5 separate regions of the Mus musculus genome follow, and all the other regions are reported to be linked to region 5. Evidence: microRNA targets listed by miRTarBase, many of them from high-throughput screens and not tested one by one. Region 5 holds a microRNA gene; each other region holds the end of a gene's coding sequence.
Evidence for each region. The annotated mature microRNA mmu-miR-5098 reads GUUACAUGGUGAAGCCCAGUU and lies in region 5 at 1,337-1,357, opposite strand. An mRNA with a match to its seed (bases 2 to 7 or 8) in the 3' UTR can be bound and repressed. Matches are read on the target gene's strand: a 7mer-m8 pairs with bases 2 to 8, a 7mer-A1 pairs with bases 2 to 7 and ends in A, and an 8mer does both.

Region 1 (4,119 bases), not on the chromosome of region 5:
AACAAAACCTCAGAGGATACTTCCAGCCTTCTGATATTGTGTAAAGGTGCCTCCCTCAGGATGATCACACGATTGATAAATGATAGGTATCTGGAGGAGCAGGCTTCTCACCCTCCCCTTGTGATTAATCACACAGCAATGCATACAATAAGCTTTAACATTTATTACCATCGAGGTTCCACTATTCTCAACCTTCACTAGTCCCTGAGTCACACACGATTTTTATCCTCACTTTATTTTACATTTTTACCGTGTGTGCGTGTGCCACACACACACACACACACACACACGCCAAGTGCCATGGTGTTTATATGGAGGTGAGAAGTCTCTTCTTATACATGTCCTAGGACTCGAACCCAGGTCATCAGACCTGGCAGTATGTACCCTCTACCCACTGAGCTATCTCAATGGCCCATCTTATCCCCACTTTTCAGAACAGGAAACTGAGACACAGTGAGATTTTTTTGTTTGTTTTTGTTGGTTTTTTGTTTTTGTTTTTTTGAGACAGGGTTTCCCTGTATAGTCCTGGCTGTCCCGGAACTCACTTTGTAGACCAGGCTGGCCTCGAACTCAGAAATCTGCCTGTCTCTGCCTCCCCACAGTGAGATTTTTTAAAACAGTTGTTTCCTATACAGAAATCTCAGGGTACCTTTAGATTTAATTACGTTTATTTGTGGAGGAGGCATGTGCCACAGTACTAACATGGAGGTCAGAGGACAACTTGCAGGAGTCAGTTCCACCCTATGGGACCCAGAGATCAAACTCATATTTTAGTGACAAGGCCCTTCCCCAACAGGCCATCTCACTGGTCCTTTGAAATTTAAAACAAGGTTCTCTGGTTGCAGAGAGGGCTGGACCTACAGGGCTGTTCTGGAGACTGAGTAGGGCACACCAGCAGTTTGGCAGACAGAACACTGAGTGCCTCAGGGGCAGTTTCTCAGGAAGATTCAACTCAACAAGCAAGCAATAGACTTGCAAACAGGACAAGAGACTTCAGCTCTGCAGGCAACAGGTAAGAGACCTCCCAAGAACGGCAGGCTCTAGACTAAAACCTGGGGGCCAGCCTGTTTCCAAACCACCACGGGGCCTTGTGGCACAAAGGCAGGTGCCCGTGAGAGCAGCTGGTTGAAGAGCCCCGTCCCACAAGCACAGCCTTCTGGACCCTGCCTGGCCATCCTGTGCCCCACCAGCCTGTGTGCTCCTCTTGGCTTTCCAGTCAGTGGCAACTACAGGGTACAGCCCCAATCCTACTGTTAGTATTCCTGGCTTCTCTCTTCGGTGCATCAGCAGTTCCCGCAGGCCCACCTTCAGAGTGTGTCCAGGAGGTGACAGTTGTCACATTCCCACAGCCAACAAGTACAAAGTATCCTTCTAGGGAGTATCAACCAGTCACATTCAGATTCGGATACCGATGCATGCTCTCTTGAGTTCTTACTCAGTGGAAGGCAGTCCCCATGGTGGCTCCCAACCTGCTCTTCTGCTATCTGACACTAAGCGCTCCAGCCACACCACTTCCTAACCACATGCTGGCCAGTGTTCCAGGCCAGCCTTCCTGGGGGGCTGCCCCTCCACTTAGACCCTCTCTAGCCCACTGCTGCCTCTAGGGCATGTCTCTTCTCTTCACCCACCTATTCTGCTTGCCTCGGGGCCTCTCCTCCATCAGCTGGAAGTTTGTCATCCACTGTGGGACAGCCATTGACCAATGAGAAAGCCCAGCTCCCCTGCTCTAGTCTGCTTTTGGGGCTCTTCCAGAGATATTCCTCCTCCACCTTTCCCTAAGGTCAGCTGGATCTGAGGGATGCAGGCTCTGGGACCTGTCTTAGCTACTTAGGCTGAGCCCCTGCCTCACCTTATTCGTCTCTGCAAGCATGACCTATTCCAAGAGACACGGCACTGATACTCCAGGCCTTCCTTCTGCCTAGAAACTGCCCAGAAACAGGAGAAACACCCTGGGTTTTCCATCTTCCTTGCCGCAGGCCTCATGTTCCCTTCTCCCCCAAGGCCTCTGCAGTCAGGAACTTGACATGCATCCCAGAGCTTTTTTGTTATTTTTTTGTAGACAGGGTTTCTCTGTGTAGCCCTGGCTGACCTGGAATTCACTCTGTAGACCAGGCCTGGCCTCAATCTCTGACATTCACTTGCCTCTGCCTCCCGAGTGCTGGGATTAACCACCCACCAGGCAGGTTTTTAATATTCTGGATTGTTTGTTTTTATCTATCTTTCTTTCTTTCTCTCTCTCTCTCTTCTCTCTGTTTGTGTGTAAAACCTCATACCATGACAAGAGTATGTGTGGAGGTCAGAGGACAACTTTCTCAAGTCGGTCCAAAACTAAACACAGATTGTCACGCTAAGTAGTAGACTGACTCCTTTCACCTGCTGCTGAGCCTCGTCTCTGGGCCCCGGCTCATGTTTTATACTGTGCTGCATACAACCTAAACAAACCTAAGGGTTTTGTGAGAGGTTGCCTCACAACTACCTCCCTCTAGTGGCACACGCTGCTCCTCACTCTGCTCACACTGGGCTCAGGATGCTGATTGTATGGGATGCTGATTGTATGGGATGGTGTTCCACAGTGACCCTGTCCAGAGGCGGGGGTGGGGGGTGGGGTTCACTTTTCACAGATGCTGTCACTCAGCCTCCCTGCCTGTCCACAGGTGTGCAGACAGTCCTTTCAGGACAGTCACCTCAGCCTGTGGTTCCCCATAAGTCTTCAAGTATCTGTCCCCAGAGATCTGGCAGTAAGAATAGGGGCCCTGGAACCTCAGGAGGCAGTCGACTGTGGTAAGAACGCAGGAGATAGAGGGAGTCACCCATGCCCTGCCTCATGGGTCAGTATCAGAGGCAGTGATAGTCACTTAGATTCAGAGGACAGATGTCTGTCCACATGCCACACTGACCGTTTGGCCACAGTCAGGCTCCCCCCACAGGCCCACAGGTAGCCCTTCCTTCCATCAGGCTCTTGACTCAAAGGCAAAAATCATACCAAGACAGCAGGGTGGGTCTGTGCTTGGAGCTCAATCGTGGCTCAGACACAGAGCAGCCACAGAACCCCTGAATTTTTAATGCCAGCACTCTGAGAGGGGCCTCTGAAGAACTACTGCATCCAGGCCTGGGGTTCTCAGACACCAAGTCATGAGGCCGTGACAGGCACAGGAACTTTGCCCCTTTGCAGAGCAGGCTGAGCGGGACCACAAGCTCACAGAGCTTCTAGGAAGGGCTGATCACCATGGGGCAGCCCGAGCGGCAGTGATCACTAACCCATGAGGCCTGGCTGGCCCTGAGCACTCTGGGCAGTTCAGTAGGAGTGTGTTATAGTTATGGGGTAGGAGGGGAAAAAACCAACCACAGCTCTAGCCCAGGGGTTAACAGGTGTCTTGAAGGGAGGGGTAGCCTGGAGAATTAGGACTGGGCTCTTCTCCACTGAGAAGCTAGAGGCTCTTGACCTCCAAGGGCACATGACTCAGGCCACCTCTGTGATAGGGAATGGCGGATGCCCCACTGTAGGTCCAGGTAAAGAAGGTTTGAACAAGAATCCTGCTGGGGACCAGGACGACCAGGGACAGCTTCAGTACCCCCGGGGGACAGCTTGGCCCTTGTTCTCCAGGCTTGCAAAGGGGTCTGCAGCAGCGTCTGATGATGAGTCAATTGTCTGGTAGGCACTGTGCTCCTGAGAGGGTCCGAAGAAATCTAGAGGACAGGGACATGTGCATAGAGAAAATGAGACCCTGGGGTTTTTGCTAAGCACAGATGGATCCACCGTCTGCCATGGCTAGAGTTCAACACCATGATGCTAAGGACAATGTGCAGTAGCAGAAGCCCAGACACCAAGCCTTTGGCAGGCAGCATCCACTCAATCCTAGCATCTGATGGGTGGATCTGCAGATGAGAGACATCTGAGGGTCAGAGAGACAGGCTGATTTGATATCATTTGGCTTGAGGCATAGGACACTGGGTTCCAGCCTAGACATCAGGTCCTATGGTCAGTGGCTCCTGGCTGCTGTGCCAAATCTGCCCCAGAAGCACTGATGAGGGATCTGAAGAGGGGTGGCTAGTCCTCAGCCCACGCACTTTTCTCCTGCTCTCCTCAGTCACCATTTCTAGAAGCCGCAGAGCCTGGCA
Region 2 (4,105 bases), not on the chromosome of region 5:
ACTTACTAATCCTTCTGAAGTAGGTCCACCAACTGGTGACCAAGCCTTCAAATACACGAGCCTTTGGAGGCCATTCTCATTCAAGCCACCAGACTCCACTTCTTGGTCTCCATAAACTTGTAACTATGCCATAATGCAAAAGATGCCAAGCCCAACTTTAAAAGTTCCCATAGCCTTTTACTCTCAACATAGTTTTGAAGTCCAGAGTCCCTTCTGAGACTCAGGGCAATGTCTTAATTGTAACCCCTGGCAAAATCAAAAAGCAAATTGTTCTCTTCCAACCTACAATGGCACAGAATATACATTACCATTCCAGGAGGGAGGAATGAGGACATGGTAATGAAATACTGGGCAAAAGCAAGACCAAAACCTAGCAGGGTAAACGCCACATCCTGACATCTCTGATGTTAAAAGGGTTTAGATGACTCCACCTTCCCACCTCGGATACCAACAACGTACTTCTCTCTCCTAGGCTGGTTCCACTCCTGTCCACTGCTCTCTCTAGCAGGCATCCCACAGCCCTGCCACTTCCAACAGCTCGGAGGATCTCCCACACAATTCAGGTTTCACTTTCACCGTTTCCTGAAATGGCCAAGACTCTAAACCTAGAACACAGTCCAAACTGCTAAGTTTTGCTGTCTGTGTGGCCTGGAGCCTAGCCCCACCCTTGATTACATTTGCATAAACTTTCTTTTTGCTCTTTATGAGCCGGTAGTCCCTACAGCCTTTTCTTTTTATTGCAGGACTCTCATCCCAAGGACATTCACTTTTTTTTCTTATCTCTTCATGCCCAAATCCTGGCTTGAACACCAAGTTCCCTAGTACTCTTTTTTTTCTCCCCAAGCTGTACATTTTGTTCTTTCCCATTTGCTCCTTTTGCTTTATAGATCGGCATAAGAGTCATAACTAATAACCAAGTGACAAATTCAGTATTTGGCTGTCTTGAAATATCATCTGACAATGAAATTAGATAAAAAATTCAATTCAGTCTCAAACAGATTAATAGGACAAGGGCAGAAAGCAGCTACATTCTTCCTTAAAATGCCTCAAGAATGGCTTCTAGCCCAGTTGCTAATATTGTTAACTTCTGAAACCTCTTGAGCTGGACCTCTATAGGTGACACTTTCCAGCACTGCTGTCTTCCAAGAACCTACTAGAATGACCCATTAAGACCCACGTTTACCTTTCAACTGTCTTCCTAGTCCAAAGTCCTAAAGCCTTCCATATTCTTCAACGAAACAAACAAAATCAACAACAAATGAAACATGGTCAGCTGTATCACAGCACTGCCCCACTCTTGGTACTACCTTCAAATATAGAACCCTTTAGGGGTCATTGCTTTTCAAACCACCACATCTGACAGAGAAAAACAACCCCAGCCAGTTCCCTGGTAGCAGGGCCATTGCTGGGCACAGCCTGTTGTATTTCATTCATTCCATATAGAGTAACCCAAAGTACTAGGTGAGATGCTCTGATAGACCTACTCTATGTGCCATAGACCAGGGAGCAGCTGGCTTTTATATTAGAGGACAATGAGGTACTCCAACAATGTGCAGGTTCCAGTGTCATGTTCAAAAGAAAGTCCAATTCTCCAAACTCCAGAAGGCAGTATGATATTCAGAAATGAATTCAACCTGGGCTATAGGCAGATTCTGGCTGTTAGATAAAAAAAAACAAAAAAACAAAAAAAAAAACAAAAAAAAAAAACCAAAACAAAACCGAATTCCTCGGGAATGGAGCAATCTTAGGCAATAGAAAAAGTAAAAGATCCTTAATGGAAAATCAAAGCAGGGTGGTCACCATTTAAACAACCTAACTAGTCTACCATGTTCTGAGGAAGCCCATGACCTATGCGGAAAGACTTCCTTTAGTTTTGATGAAAGAAACCACATACACTGATGTCTGGCAGAAGCCAGTTAGGAATGGTAGCTTGTGCACCAGGTGTTTAACTCATCTCCCAAATACTTATGGTGGTTCCCCTTTACCCAGGGATGCAGGAGGCCCATTGGCAGCTGACTCATGACCAGAGCTCCTCTCCTACCCAACTTCCCACCCCAGTTTTGTCCAAGTGGTAGCATTAGTTGAGCTATGTGACTTTGGGCAGATCAACTTCTCCAGGCTACTATTATTTTGTCTGTAAAGGTAGATATGTGGATATGATTTAGTGGTGAAATACTTGCCTACTAGGGGCAAATCCCTTTTTATCCACGGCTCTCCAACAAATAATAATAATAAATAAATAAATAAAACAAAGAAGTGGAATTTGTCTTATGATTTTATAAATGGTTGTGATAACAGGAAAGGGGTAGGAAGGGGAGAAATGAAGAAGGTGGGAAGGAGGGAGGGAGGAGAAAGGGAGGGAGTGGGGAGAGAGAGAGAGAAAGGTATGTGTCTAATGCTAGCTGGGCTCAGACTTGCCATTGTTTAGTTCACGTTGCTTCTACTCACTAGGAAATTTGGTTAAAAATCCCACCAAAAGCAGGGCAGTGGTGGTGTGACTCTGTTTTTGAAAGAGAACCTGAGATCTCTTTCACATTAGAACCATTTCACCCCTCTTTCTCCTTTTTTCCTTTGAGGAACATTTTTTTTTGTTGATAATTTTAATGCTTTTTGTACTGAAAATAGATATTTTATTTTGTCTACACAAAGCACTTTCAAATATAAATCATATACAATATGTAGATATAATAGAAAAGAAAGTATAAATATAAATGTATATGTAAATATACACTTTTACATACACACACACACACACATACATATATAGTCACTGAGTTTGGTTTTGTCATGAATCCTATACGAAAGGGTTCATTGGCTCAGTATCTCTTCTTCTGTTCTCTGCTCTCCTCCAATAGGTGCAAAGCAGCAAAGGGCCAAGTCTTCAGGAGCTCAAATGTTGCTGTCTTCTTTACAGACATCTCCTGTGCCAGAGGAGCCTTGGAAGACAATGGGAGCCTTGTCAATCTCTGTAAACTGCAAGTCAGAGTAGGGAATAGAAAAAGAGTCTAGCAGATCAGCTGCTTTGAGTTAATCTCTGAGTGGAACTCGAGGCTTTTAATGGAGACTCCCAGGAGAGCTCAGGCTGCTTGTACTCTGGGAAGTTGGCCTCTGTGATGAACCAGGAAGAAAGGTGGTGTCCTTCCGGACTCCGGGGATCCAGGCCTGAATATGGGAGGCACCCAGGCTCAGTAAAACAGATCATACCAGAGACCTCTATTATCACATTGGGCTTTCTCCTGTGTCCAGGCGCAGCTGGACTAACTGCCCTTGTATCTTCTCTTCAGGATCAGCTGGGCAGGTCTCCCTGAGTTTCTGAAATCGTGTGGTTAGGCTCCTGTGTCTTCATCCTCCTTGCTGCTGGCCCTCACAGTCATTGGTACTGTTTCCATGGTTTCCACCTCAACACGGCACGGCTGAGAAGGCTGCCTATAAAGCAGTTCATTCACAGGTTTTAAAAAGAGGACAGGACCACCCTTCAGTCAACATATCTCTTACTGAACATGTATGCCCGGTACTGAGTGGGTTACATTAGCAAATGTCACCCTCCACCCCCACTCTCAGAGGTCTGTGCTGTTTAGAGATTAGGAAAACCTAGGCTTCCCGAATGTGCACATAGCAAGAGTTTGAATCCTATTTAGAGATCTTCAACCTTGCCATCCATCCACCAGGGCTTTAGCAAGGTTGCTGGAACAGACCATGCCACCCCACCCTCCCTCCAACTCCGCTGATCATCCTCTAGAAACCAGCATGGGTAGCAAGGGATGGAGAGAGGAGACGGGGACCATGGTGGACCAGGCTTGATGGTATGGATGAAGGTTGCTAGATACTCACAAGGCTTTTTAAAAAAACATTCTTGTATTTAGCATTAAATACAGTGAAAAGCTCCCGGATAGCAAGAGCAGGGGGAGGCTCTGTATTCTGTGTCTGTGTGTCTGGCTGTGTCTGTGTGTCTGGCTGTGTCTGTGTGTCTACCTGTCTGGGAGTTCCCTTGGTTTTTAGGCCCTAAGTATCTTGGTCAGTGATATCTACCATGGCTCATATAATGTTTTCTTATGGATAAATAAATTTTCAAGCCATGATTAAGTAAAGAGTTTTGTGTGAGACA
Region 3 (4,119 bases), not on the chromosome of region 5:
GCTAGGGAGCATAGGACGTTAAGAATGGGAAAAAACTCAAATGTTGAACCAATTAAGTTTCGTTGTTGTTGTTGTTAGTTGTTGAATCCTGAGCTGATGCAGTCAGCATTCTGGGCAGGCAAACAACCTTCGTTCTTACTGTAAGTTCTATGTGCTGCTTCCAAAGATGAGGAATTACAAGCAGACATCTAAATGGTCTCTACCTTAGGATCTGGGCCCATATCCTAGGTCAAAGCCTACCCACCTGGCTCAGCTACCTCTTCCTTCCCGTGCGTGGCAAAAGGCAAAGCAGTTATAACCATGCTCGCCCTCTCTACGCCACGGCTACCCTTCACGGATGTGCTCTGAGATTCTCTTGCTCAGTAGCTGCTGTGGTTTCATTTTAAGAAGGCAGAGGCTAAGGGCATCATACTAACACTGCTTCAACTCCAAGAATTAAAGGAAAGATTTTTATTGCTCAACCGTTTTCTTATCCCTTCCTACTGACATATTCATATTCTCTCTGGGTCTACTGGCTGAAAATGTTTGTGTTTGTTCCTCTGACTAACGGTATGGTTTCTGTATGGTTAGAGTTGTAGTGTTTTCAAATGTATTTTATTACTTTGGACTGGATGTTTGTCTCCAGCAATACGAGGTACTTTCCGTGAAATAAGATAACGGTTGTTTAAATTTTGGAGAGGTTTTGTTGTTGTTATTGGTTTGTTTTTTGTTTTTGTTTTTGTTTTTTTGGTTTTTGTTTTGTTTTGTTTTGTTTTTTTGGCCTGCAGGGATATTTTGTGTTCATGTGTCCAAAAAGTGGGGAAGGGGAATAAATTGGCATTCTTGTGCTAAAAGTTGTTTTTCTCATCAGTTGAGACATAAATATAGAATACACTGTAAAAGAAATCTTTTTTTTAAATTTAAAACCAAGTGTTGTTATCATGTATAAGACTCTAGTACACACACGTGTGTTCTGTCTCTTGTTAAAGTCTGTTTCCAAGGCACGACCCAACAGGTGATAATAATTATCGGAACCACTCTATACAGGGGACAAGGAAGACAGGGCTTGGGTCCAGTTAGTTGTCACTGGACTGAACAACAGGGCTCTTGTCCAGTGTCCCATGAGCTCACTGTTTTTAAAGGAGCATTACCTTTTGTGTGTACCATTATTTATACCATGGTACAAAGATGTCCATAGTAAAAATACCTCCTGGGATGCTCTCTTATGGAGATAACAGAGAGAATCCTCTCTTTTAAAGTCTCCCAATGGTAACTCCAGCATTAGTTTCCACAGGGCTTTCTTGTTGAGTTCTGCTGCATGTCATAAACATCAATGTGATGACGTTTTGCTCTGTGTCTGCTTTATCTATAAATTTGCTACAAATACTCATTTCAAACCAAAAGCACAGTTATGGTAAAGGACTCCACGTACTACACAGAGTATCCTGTGTTTTCTGTAAGGTTTACCCGAGAACATATGAAGCTGCATAGTTTATCACTGTGCACACAGGTAATATAACTTCACTCAGTTATCCTGTGTATGTTGTTAGGATTCTGCTTCCTTTCATTAAAGTCACGTAGTCAACTTTTTGTTAAGCACAGTCATGTCCTCTGAGCCAAACAACAGCCATCTTTGTTGAGGTTTGGTCTTGCTCTGTGTATTGTAAGGCTAAGTGCAACCCGAAAAACCTAGAGTCCCTAGTAACCGTGGCATGTGACCTTGCCCCCAAGTTATTTCTGACTGGGAAATATCGATGCAGACAGCTGGCAGCTGGGCAGAAGGGAAATTGCTAGGGTTTAGGATTCCTGGGCTTGGGGTTGGAGGGGAACCACCGGAGGAACAGAAGGTGAGGAGAAAGAAGCCAGCATGGTTTAGGTGAGCCATGGAAACGGGCTGAGGGCTGACCAATTGGAGTTAAGAGCAGCCCTGATGAAACACTGTTTAAGTAATAACTCGGGGCTATCGATAGAAACGTATATTCTAATAGCAGAGAGGGTAGGTGTCTGCCCAGCTCTTGAGCTGCTTAAGGCTTATTGGAAATAATAAGTTGTGTGTCTTCTATCCAGGAACTGAATGGTCAAAGGCGGGTAGGAACTCCAGACTGGGGTTAAAAATGTCTACAACACATCTTCGTAAGATTAGCTGTGCTTGTTTATAAAAGATCATCATAGCTGGATTAGACTGTTGATCAGCCTTTTTAGAAAGAGTGGGTGGGCGGGGTTATTGGACTCTCATCTGAGTACCTAGCTCCTCCTCCCAGCCAGCGTTACGCAATTATAAGCTATTTACATGTAGTAAAAAAAAAAAAAAAAAGTGCTACCTATTCTCAGCATGGTAGTAAATCAGAAAGAAAAAAGCAGGGCCACAAGATACTGGAATAACATGTCTTTAATACTGTCTTGAAAGGTCCGCTATTCTTCAGCTACAGTGTCCTCTGAGATATAAAATACGGTTCTCCTACACCTAGAGAATTCTTTTATCAGCACTTGTCCACTCAGAACATATTTTCACTTGAAGCATACGTAACCTTTCTCACAGAACACAATCCACAGTGTGAACAGAAACTGCAATATTTAAGTCTCAACGGCGACACAAACACGACACATTACTTTTGAACGTAAGTCACTTGGAGTAAATTGGATATAACTTCTAACTTAAGAGTTGAAAAAAATATTTTCTATGAAATGTCTTGTCCAAAATCATACAGTTAAGGGAAAATTTATCAAAGACTTAAGTACAAAGGGCAAAGTACGGTATTATAGTACAAACCAAACTCTACTAAAATAATCTGTCAGAGGTCTGAATGCAGATTTAACTACAGCTGTGGAATCGGGTGCCTTTGCCAGGGGATGATCAGAGCATATTAGGAGCCAGGTCCCAACTTTTCTTTCTTTAGAAGGTTGTCACAGCACACATGGGGACCTGAAGGTGACTCTGTGGAGTGGTTCTCTCCTTCCACCTTTACATGGGCCCCAGGGGTTAAACCCAGGCAGCGAGGCTTGCACGAACCTTCAACCACTGAAACATCTCTCCAGCCCCGCCCCCAATTTTCTCTTCACTGATGCCAATACCTGATTGGAGGCCTGCCACTCCCCAAGACACACTTCTAATTTCATAACGCTAGGGACAAAAAGGATCTACTCTTAAAACTACTCTTTATGAAACTATTAACTATGGAATGATTTTTCTGAAGACAGCAAAATATTGTTTGCCTCAAATACTGGCTTGACAGTTCATTTTTGATAAGTGATTGAGAAAAATAAATGAAGCTCTGGCTATAAATACAAAATGTGTGTATGTATACCTCTATATTCTGAAAGGCTCTGTCCTATGCTCTCACTTAAACATCTGATTTAAATTATAAGTTATCTCAATAAAGGGCATTAATTTTTAAACTTAAATCATTTTATCATACCATCACCCTCTCTACTTTTTATTTTTACATTATTTCTATAAATACTCAAATGAAAAACAATCCACCATCTTGAAACCAATATACAACATTATATTGGTGGTTTAAGGATTTTTTAAATATTTGTTAAAATGTAGAAACTCTGAAATTACAAACAAAAAAATTACAATTTTACAGTATATATCTAATTTATTTTAAAAAAATATTGTTTTTTTAATACAAGTAATTAAGTGTTATTTTTTCAAATGAACTCCTGTATGTAGGCTAAAAGAAGGTGTATAGTCTTGTCCCACTAACACATCTCATTTTTTCATGCTGGAACTTCAACAATTTCAAAGTAGTCATTTGGTAGGATCACGTAGCCCCTCTCGGACGCGTCGTCCTTCTCTCTCTGAAAGTGGACGACTTCCTTGAGCTTCTCGAGCTGCCTCTCCTGCCGCCGGCACCGCTGCTGGGCCGTCTTGAGCTTCTTCCTGAGTTTCTCCACCTGCTGCTCCAGCTGCAGGATCCTCTTCCTCTGGTGCATCGTATCCTCCACAGTGTAATTGTGGTCACAGAAAACCGACAGGTTATCAGGGGTCTGCAGAGGGGGCATTAGCAGCCCAATAGCAGCATCAACCTGGGAAGCGGGGGGTGAAGGAGAGGGGAGCTGTTCTTGGGATTCCAGGTCTTCCTTCTAGACAGCAACAGACAAGCACGTGGGGTTAGTAACTAACATAGCTGAGGT
Region 4 (4,119 bases), not on the chromosome of region 5:
TCTCCTTACTTTGTCAACTTGCATTACAAATCTATGTCTGTTGGACCCTATCTCCACCTTTGGGGAGGTCTGTAGTCCCTCTTCTAGGCTCTAGATAGACCAGATCTTACCAAAGAGATGGGTCCCCATGCATTCACCTGCACCTACATAAATTGCCATCCTAAGTGTGACATTGTCGTGATGCCTCCTATTGGAGAATATGCAAAGCCTCTTTCATGAACAATAGCACAGTATTTCCACCTGACACAAGAATATGCCAGGCTTCTGAACTGTGTCAGGAAGTTTACCTGCTAGTTTTTAGCTTCTCCAATGTCGGCTCCTGACTGTACAGTACCATGTTGCATCTTCTGCTTAGATGCTGCTGTTCAGGCCAGAGGTAGGCCTAACCTTTGTACCAAATGTCAGTTTTCAATTACAAAAGAAAGTTGTGTGCGTAGTTAGCCATCCTTGGGTGCTCTAACCTGTGCTATTGCTCAATCTTCTGGATTTAGCCTATAAATGAATTACAATGTCTCTTCGGGCCTTGCCAGAAGATTAGAACCAGAGTCTCTATTTTCTGTAGGAAAAAAAATGAAATAAGTCCACTTAACTTACTTGCTTGTAAATAAGGCATAGTATTTTGCTATGATTTTAAGTGTTCATGTACATGTGTGTGCATACCTATGTGCATGCAGGCATGTGTGTGTGTGCGCGCGCAGTTGTGTATGCACATGTTCACACTGTGTAGAAGCCAGAAAACAATCTTGGAGATCATCATCAGGAGCACCACCTACATATTTTGAAACAGAGTCTCCCATTAATCTGGCTTATCAACTTAGATCAGACAGGCTGGCCATTTAGCCTCCGTGATCCTGTTGTTCCTACCTCGACAGTGTTGAGACTACAAACATGGAGCACCATGCCTGGCAATTGTGTGGGTTCTGGGTCCTGAACTCAGGTTCTCAGGCTTGCAAGACAAGTGCTTTACCAACTAAGCCATCTCCCTAACCATTGCCTACTTTTGATATTCAGATTTATGTAGAGCAGGGCTCTCTGTCTTTTTAACTTGCACTTTAATGCTCCTGGATAAGCTTGATGCATGATCCCTGGAAATCCCAGTGCAATGACACAGCATTGCCAATATCACCTAGAGTGACCAGCATGGAAGGTTGGTATTATCCACTTATAAAAAAATTAAAATAACAGCACCAACATTCCCAAATCAAAATCATCCTCAACAGATATCATTTTATTAAATTACATCTAACAACTTCATATATCATGACAATTCACCAGGTACCTAGGAATATATTTTCTAAGATTATATCAAAGTATCTGCCAAAAAGGCAAATTGCTTCAATTTAAGCACTATAGAAATATTTATTAAGATTTTTTAATCCACACTGAATGTAAATACTGCCTGTTAAAATTTCCCTGGATAAAATCATCGGGGCCAGAGGCTCTCTGCTAGACTGTGTGTAGCAAGGTAGCCATAATTGAATTCTGAAGAACATATTAGCTCATCCCACATCCCTAAGGAGTTGGGACGGCCTTCTATAATTAAGACATATCTCCTGGTTAGATTCGTTAACTAGAAAAGAGCATCAACCCTCTCTCCCACTTAGCTGAGTGTCAGGGTGTATGGATCTGCCCTAATTGGACAATGGAGAATTATCTGCACTCACATTTTTGCCTAAGAATGTATTTCCCTAACTCTTGTGCTTCTAAATGGTTATCAAAGGTCAATTAGGGAAATCGATATTCATAAATAATTTCTTTAAAGACACTCTGTTCATCCTCCTAATGGTCTGAACTGAATTTTTAGCAAATCAGAAACACACATGCTTTCAACCTAGACAAAACTCCAACAGCACTATTTTCATGGTGTATAATATTTAGGCATGTAGTACAAAGCCAACTAGTAATAACAGAGGGTGGCTCTTATACAAGCTTACTGTTTGTGTAATCAGAGCTGGCTCTTACAATGACCTTTAAATTAATTAAATCATTTCTCTTGACTTATAGGTAAGAAAACTGAGTTCAAAGAAGTCACATAATTGTATGATATAAAACCAGGACATGGACCTGATTCTAGAACCTCTAAATTTAACCATTCTATCCTATGCCTTCCCTAAAACAATGATTGAATAAGTCCCTTCTCCAACCTGAATAAGGCCTTATGAAATGAATTCATTGTTGACCCAGTCTGGAAAGACCATGATAAAGGATGCCTCCAGGAAAAGTCAGCAGTGTTGAGGGGTCTGTTTCTATAAAGCAGCCAAACAGACTGAAGCAAATGTACTCCATCACTGGACTTGACTACAGATTCATGAATCTCAGAAGTCTTTAGATGTTTGTTCTCAAACTGGAAATCTAAAAGGGAGAGTATCAGAACCCCACACCTGAACCCCATGAATGACCAGCTATCTCCAAAGTAGAGCTATTCACCTCAGAGAGACTCATCACAAAAGACTCCAGCAGCAGGAGGTAGTATGGCTTGGATATGATTCTGCATGACAGTGACAGTCAACCTGAATTTAGAGTCTTGATTTCAGAGGGTCAATAATGAAGTTATTCATAAAACTGCTCAAATTCATTCAAGCCAAAGGTGACTTTATTGACTCATGGACTGGGGAAGTTCAGGTACAGATTTTATTCCAGAAAAGAACTGATTCTGAGCACAGTGTAGTCAGTGCTCCATCACTCTAGGTTGCCCAAACAAGACCTGCATAATGACACCAATTGACATGCAACATGGACAGAAGAAATTTCACAAAGACAGAACCCTATATGAAGAGCTAGAGGTAATCAGTGGCTGCTGAGAAAAGGACAATCAGTCTTCAGGGAGGGGCCCTCCTGATAGATTATCCAGTGTCCAGTCTTCAACAAAATACAAGAAGCACTAAATGTAATCAGTAAGATGGATGACTGATGAATAGATGATAGATAGGTAGATAGATAGATAGATAGATAGATAGATAGATAGATAGATAGATAGATAGATTGATTGATTGATTGATTGATTGATAGATGATAGGTATTATGCATATGTATATATGCATAAGGCTAATAATAAGACATCATGAATTTGAGAGAGAATTTGGAAGGATAGGAAAGGATCTGAAGAGGGAGGGATAGAAAGTATGTAAATACAGCACTCAAGATGACATTATAAAACAAAAACAATAAAAAATTATTCTCCTTTCTGTGCATCTATTTTTTCATCTATGTGAGGGAGAAGAATTATGTCTGAAATTTTTTCAATTATATATATATATATGGATATTTACATATATATATATAAAACCATGGGTAAGTCAGATTCTCTTTGGTAGAGTCCTAGTGGGATGCTTATGCTGGAAGCCTTCCATTTAAATTCCGTGCTCTAGTGCTGAGGACCACAAAGCAGAGAAGTGAAAGGCCATATTCACAGAACAGACCTACAACATCTGCTGGGGCTAAAAGGTTCATAACCCGAGACAAGGGAGAGAATGTAATCCCAGGAGGTGCTTCAGGGCTCACAACAGTAGGTCAGGACCACAGCTGCGGCTTAATAAACACATCACCCTGTGCTTTATAGTTCAGTGCCCGCCAGTTCAAAACATTGGGGCTGAGTGTCCCACCAACATAGACTGTGCTGATCTGTTCTGGAGATAGCACAAAGTCCCACATGTTCACATCTCCGATGTCTCCCACCAAAGACTGCTTTGCATCAAAGTCACCGCCATACGAGTCCTGCTCCTGCCCCAAGATGATGCTTGCATCTGGCCCCACAGTGTAGCCCTTGTGCAGACTTTTCCGCACCTTGGGTTTCCCATCAATCCAGAACTCTACAATCCCCGTAGCAGACTCCCAGCTGGCACAGATGTGTGTTGGAGCCTCAGGAATCTCTGAAACCATGAATCGTACTTCAGCACCACCCACTCCAAAAGTATACTGTTTATCCTTATTCCAAAATATGAGAATGTCGTTAGAGTTCTTCTTGGTAGCATAAGAGAAGACACTGAAGCTGCGCACTGTGCTCAGAGCAGTGTAGAAATGGAGACACACAGTAAAGGTGTTCAGTGGCTTCTTTGACTCTGCTTCCAGAGACACATAGGAAGTATCTGACTCCTTGGGAAATACAAAGGCCTTTTTAAA
Region 5 (4,119 bases):
AGTTCCAAGACTCAAACATGGAAGGAACTGACAGACGCTAATGCCCAAAGCGCAGAAAACAACCAGAACATTCAAACTCATGACAGAGAGATGCAATGCCACATTCCTACACTCGGAAACGAAGAAAAGAGTCTGGAGATGCAGCTCAGCTGCAGGGAGTATGCTCAGATATGGTAAGCCTTAGGTTATCTCTAGCTCTGTTTAGAGAGAGGGAGATGGGTGTGGCGGCCTCACCTTTAATTCTAGCTCTCAGGAGCTAGAGGTAGATGGGGATCTCTGAGAGTACCTCTGATATGCAGAGAAACCCTCCCTGTATGGCCCCCCAACAACAAAGGGTAGCTAAAGGCTATATACTGGATAACAGCCCCCCCCATATAAAACAATCACTAAAATGGATGTGATCACGTGTGCTTATACTCTCAGCACCAGGAGCCCAAGTAGGAAAACCTGGAATTCAAGTTCCACTTGAGGTATATAGCAAGATCCTACTTAAAAGGGGGAGAGAGATGACTCAGCAGTTAAAAACACATGCTCTTCCAAAGTGCCCAAGTTTGTTAGGTTCCCAATACCCATGTCACTGGCACCTGTAACCTCAGTTCTGAGGGGATCCTAAAGCCCCCACAGACATCCATACACGTGTAAAACCCTCACCAAGAACAAAAATAAAAATAAATCTTCTAGAGGAAGTGGGGGCGGGGGTGAGACAGAGGTCTTCCATTAAGAGAGCAGGCAATGCTTCAAAGACCAAATTCAGTTCCCAGCCCCCACAGCAGGTGGCTCACAACTGCCACGGGTAACTGCAGCCCAGGCGGGTAACTGCAGCCCAGGCGGGTAACTGCAGCCCAGGCGTCCCTGGGCGCCACATAGCTCTGGCCCCAGGGCACCTGCACAGAACAGCACTCAAAGGAAAAAAAAAAAGCCTTAGAATTGAAAAGGGCTGGGAATAGTGCCACTGGGAAGGCAGAGGCAGGGGGATCTCTGCAGTTTAGGGCCAGCCTGTTTATACAGCAAGTTCCAGGACAGCTGGGGATACAAAGAGAAACCCTGTGTCAAACAAGCAAAAATTAAACAAATAATGATTAGGTGGAGAGCCTGATACTTCTTCCTTCCTAGGAAACAAACAGACACTAGTCTTACCACTCCCACACTCTTCATTAAAATCGTTGTTTGGTTGTTTTTCAAAACTGGGCCTCTGCCGGACAGTGGTGGCACAGGCCTGTAATCCCAGCACTCGGGAGGCAGAGGCAGGCGGATTTCTGAGCCTGGTCTACAGCGTGAGTTCCAGGACAGCCAGGGCTACACAGAGAAACCCTGTCTCAAAAACAAAACAAAACAAAACTGGGCTTCACCATGTAACTCTGGCTAATCCTATAGATCAGGCCTGCAGAGGCCTCTGAAATGCTAGGATAAAAGTGGGGGGCCACTATACCAAATTAAAATAAAATCTAAAAAAAAAAGTAAAATATCCCCCCATTAGAACTATTCTTCAATCAACAAATGAAAATACTTTAGCTCATTAGTAAGGTTTTTTTTTCCCCTTCCTGGACCTGAAACAGGGCTTCATTGTGAAGCCCAGGCTGACCTTGAACTAATGATCCCCCAGTCTCAGCTTCTGAGGAACTGACCGAATGTAGCTTTGCAAACCTCCTACAGGCCTCAGCAACCTACCAGCTCTGAAGGTATAAATACAGACTTGGCTATTAAGTAGAATTACTAAAGCACGGAAGCACTGTAGTGACCACATATTGTCTGGCATGGTCTGTATTAGTAGGAACCAGAGGAATGTCACAGTGAGCCATGGTTTTCTCAGTGAAGCAATTATTCCCTCAATGTTTATTTACTCTCTACCATTGGGGGGTGGGGGGGGAGGGTCTCACTATGTCACCTGGCTAATTTGCAGCTACATGTATGGATATGCATATGCAGGCAGGCAGACAGACAGACTCTCAAAGTTGCAGCTCTAAACCTGCCTCTTGCCTCCAAATGCTGTTTAATTCTAGCCACCACAAAGATTTTAAACTTTTTTTTTCCAAAGTTTTTTAGACAAGGTCTTACTACATACATGTAGGGCTAGCTGGCCTGACAAAAGTCAAGGCCAGGCTGGCTCCAGCTTGGGGGGGGGGGGGGGGGGCACGCACACCTTTGAGCCCAGCACCCGAGGCAGAGGCAGGTGGATCTCTGAGTTCCAGGCCAGCCTGGTCTACAGAGGGAGCTCCAGGACAGCCAGGGTTACACAGAGAAACCCTGTCTCGGAAAACCTATTAAAAAAAAAAAAAAAAAAACTGGCTTCTAACCTTCAAACCTAGCTGTCTGCTTCTGCTGAGATTGAGGCCAGGCTGCTGCACCATGTCTGTCTTTGTTTTTTCCTGGGTTTCTATGTTATGTGTCTATGTGTGGGTGCACAGGCACCTGCTGAGATCTAAGCCCTGGGTGCTGGGGACAGAACTCAGGTCCTCTGCACAAGCAGCGCACTATTAGACTCTAAAGTTTAAGAGACGTCCTTAAAGCAGCCTGGAGAACATGGTATCTGGATAGAGATTGTTTATTTGTTTGTTTTCGAGACAGGGTTTCTCTGTGTAGTCCTAGATGTCCTGGAACTCACTCTGTAAACCAGGCTGACCTCCAACTCAGAAATCCACCTGCCTCTGCTTCCAAGTGCTGGGATTAAAGGTGTGCGCCACCACGGCCTGGCTGGTATCTGGATAAAATAGCATAGATGATACAATCTGTTCACCACTGGGTAAGATTCAAGCAGCAATCACTTTATAAACAGGGGATCCAAAACAACTGGCAATAAAATGTTTCTAAAGAACTAAAATTAATTCAAAATCTAAGCCAGGTGTAGTGGCACAAGCCTTTGATCCCAGCACTGGGAGATGGAGACAGGTGGATTTCTGTGAATCCAGGACAGCCTGACTACATCATAATAATAAAATAAAATCTGAGCTGTTTCTGGCAGCCCTACCTGTAGCCCTGGTTCTCCATGCACAGAACACTGGGGTCTGTGCATGCAGCAGCTAGGAGCCCTGGCTCACACTGCAGACCACTGCTGTTAGCAACTGCAATTTTCACTGCACACATGAAGTTTCTGGTCTTATGGAAACATAACGGTCCCCACTTCAGAATCTAAAGCCTTCTATCCTTCCCTACTGTGTGCAGACCGGATTAGAATGTTTGCCCTTTAGAACAGCAGACCTGAATTTTTCTTGTTTTGTGCCTGTCACCCCCAACCCTATCCTCCAGTCCACCCTACCCCAGAGAGGGTTCTATTTGTCCAGCCCTGGCTGTCCTGGAAGTCACTGGGATTCAAGCTATGCATCACCATGCACAGCCACAAACTTGAGTTTAAAAAACAAAACAAAGCATTTAACAAAGTTTCACTTTGAGACCAGAGCAGAATTTCCAACCATTTCTGAAATTGCCCTAAGCACTCTTCCACCCTTTTGTACATATATACATATGCAAAGTGCCATTCTAGGGTTGACAGTTACAATCCATTCTGATTGTATCTGACAGAATGAATCAACTCCGATAAATGTTGAAGTTACTCTATGCCCAGTACTATCAAACATTCAACCAAACACTAAAAGTTCAATAAAGCTAAGTACACCCATCTCAGTATCTGCATCTGCTTGTCTTAGACATCAGAAGGCTGAGGCAGGAGAGGGAGTGCTAGGCTGGCCAGGGTTTTGTGGCTCACACCTATCTTCCTAGACTTGTTAATAATAGCCTCAAGAAGCAAGAATTCAGCAGGGCCAGGCTACTACTGAAACAAACCCTTGTCTCACAAAACAAGGACTGGTGTGGTGACACAGACCTGTAATCTATGCACTCAGGGTCCAAAAGCAAAGTTTGGGGACAGAATGATACACTGGGGGAGTTCAGGCCAGCCAAGGTCATACATGAATCTCCAGGATAAGCTTTTCTTAGCGGACTCTGCTCAGGACCTCTGGAAGAACAGCCAGTGCTCTTAACCACTGAGCCATCTCTCTAACCCCCTGAAACTTTTCTTTTTGGTCTAAGCCTGGGGAGATGGACCATGAAAGCCCCTCAGACTTATACTTCTGGGCCAGAAAGTCCTCAAAACCTGTAGGTATTAGGATATGCTCAACAAATGCT

Region 1: the mRNA of Agtrap is a reported target of mmu-miR-5098. Seed matches in the 3' UTR shown: 7mer-A1 at 238-244.
Region 2: miRTarBase lists Il15ra as a target of mmu-miR-5098. Seed matches in the 3' UTR shown: 7mer-A1 at 2,733-2,739.
Region 3: the mRNA of Thap1 is a reported target of mmu-miR-5098. Seed matches in the 3' UTR shown: 7mer-A1 at 3,419-3,425 and 8mer at 2,941-2,948.
Region 4: the mRNA of Crp is a reported target of mmu-miR-5098. Seed matches in the 3' UTR shown: 7mer-A1 at 3,265-3,271.

Annotation. Positions count from the first base shown.
Region 1 is chr4:148,076,918-148,081,036 of GRCm38, forward strand. It overlaps Agtrap (angiotensin II, type I receptor-associated protein), which reads right to left. Exons shown (of 5, transcript NM_009642.5): 5 at 144-3,687. The coding sequence ends at 3,566. Among named protein-coding and RNA genes, the nearest start is that of Gm13201, 2.5 kb to the left of the region's middle.
Region 2 is chr2:11,732,471-11,736,575 of GRCm38, reverse strand. Il15ra (interleukin 15 receptor, alpha chain) reads right to left here. Exons shown (of 7, transcript NM_008358.2): 7 at 2,591-3,426. The coding sequence ends at 3,327. Among named protein-coding and RNA genes, the nearest start is that of Gm46731, 11 kb to the left of the region's middle.
Region 3 is chr8:26,162,383-26,166,501 of GRCm38, reverse strand. Thap1 (THAP domain containing, apoptosis associated protein 1) reads right to left here. Exons shown (of 3, transcript NM_199042.2): 3 at 2,351-4,068. The coding sequence ends at 3,703. Among named protein-coding and RNA genes, the nearest start is that of Thap1, 6.3 kb to the right of the region's middle.
Region 4 is chr1:172,698,419-172,702,537 of GRCm38, reverse strand. Crp (C-reactive protein, pentraxin-related) reads right to left here. Exons shown (of 2, transcript NM_007768.4): 2 at 2,572-4,119. The coding sequence ends at 3,511. Among named protein-coding and RNA genes, the nearest start is that of Crp, 2.4 kb to the right of the region's middle.
Region 5 is chr5:77,270,005-77,274,123 of GRCm38, reverse strand. It overlaps Mir5098 (microRNA 5098), which reads right to left and starts at 1,367; the gene lies at 1,286-1,367. All of the region lies in intron 2 of Rest (RE1-silencing transcription factor), which reads right to left.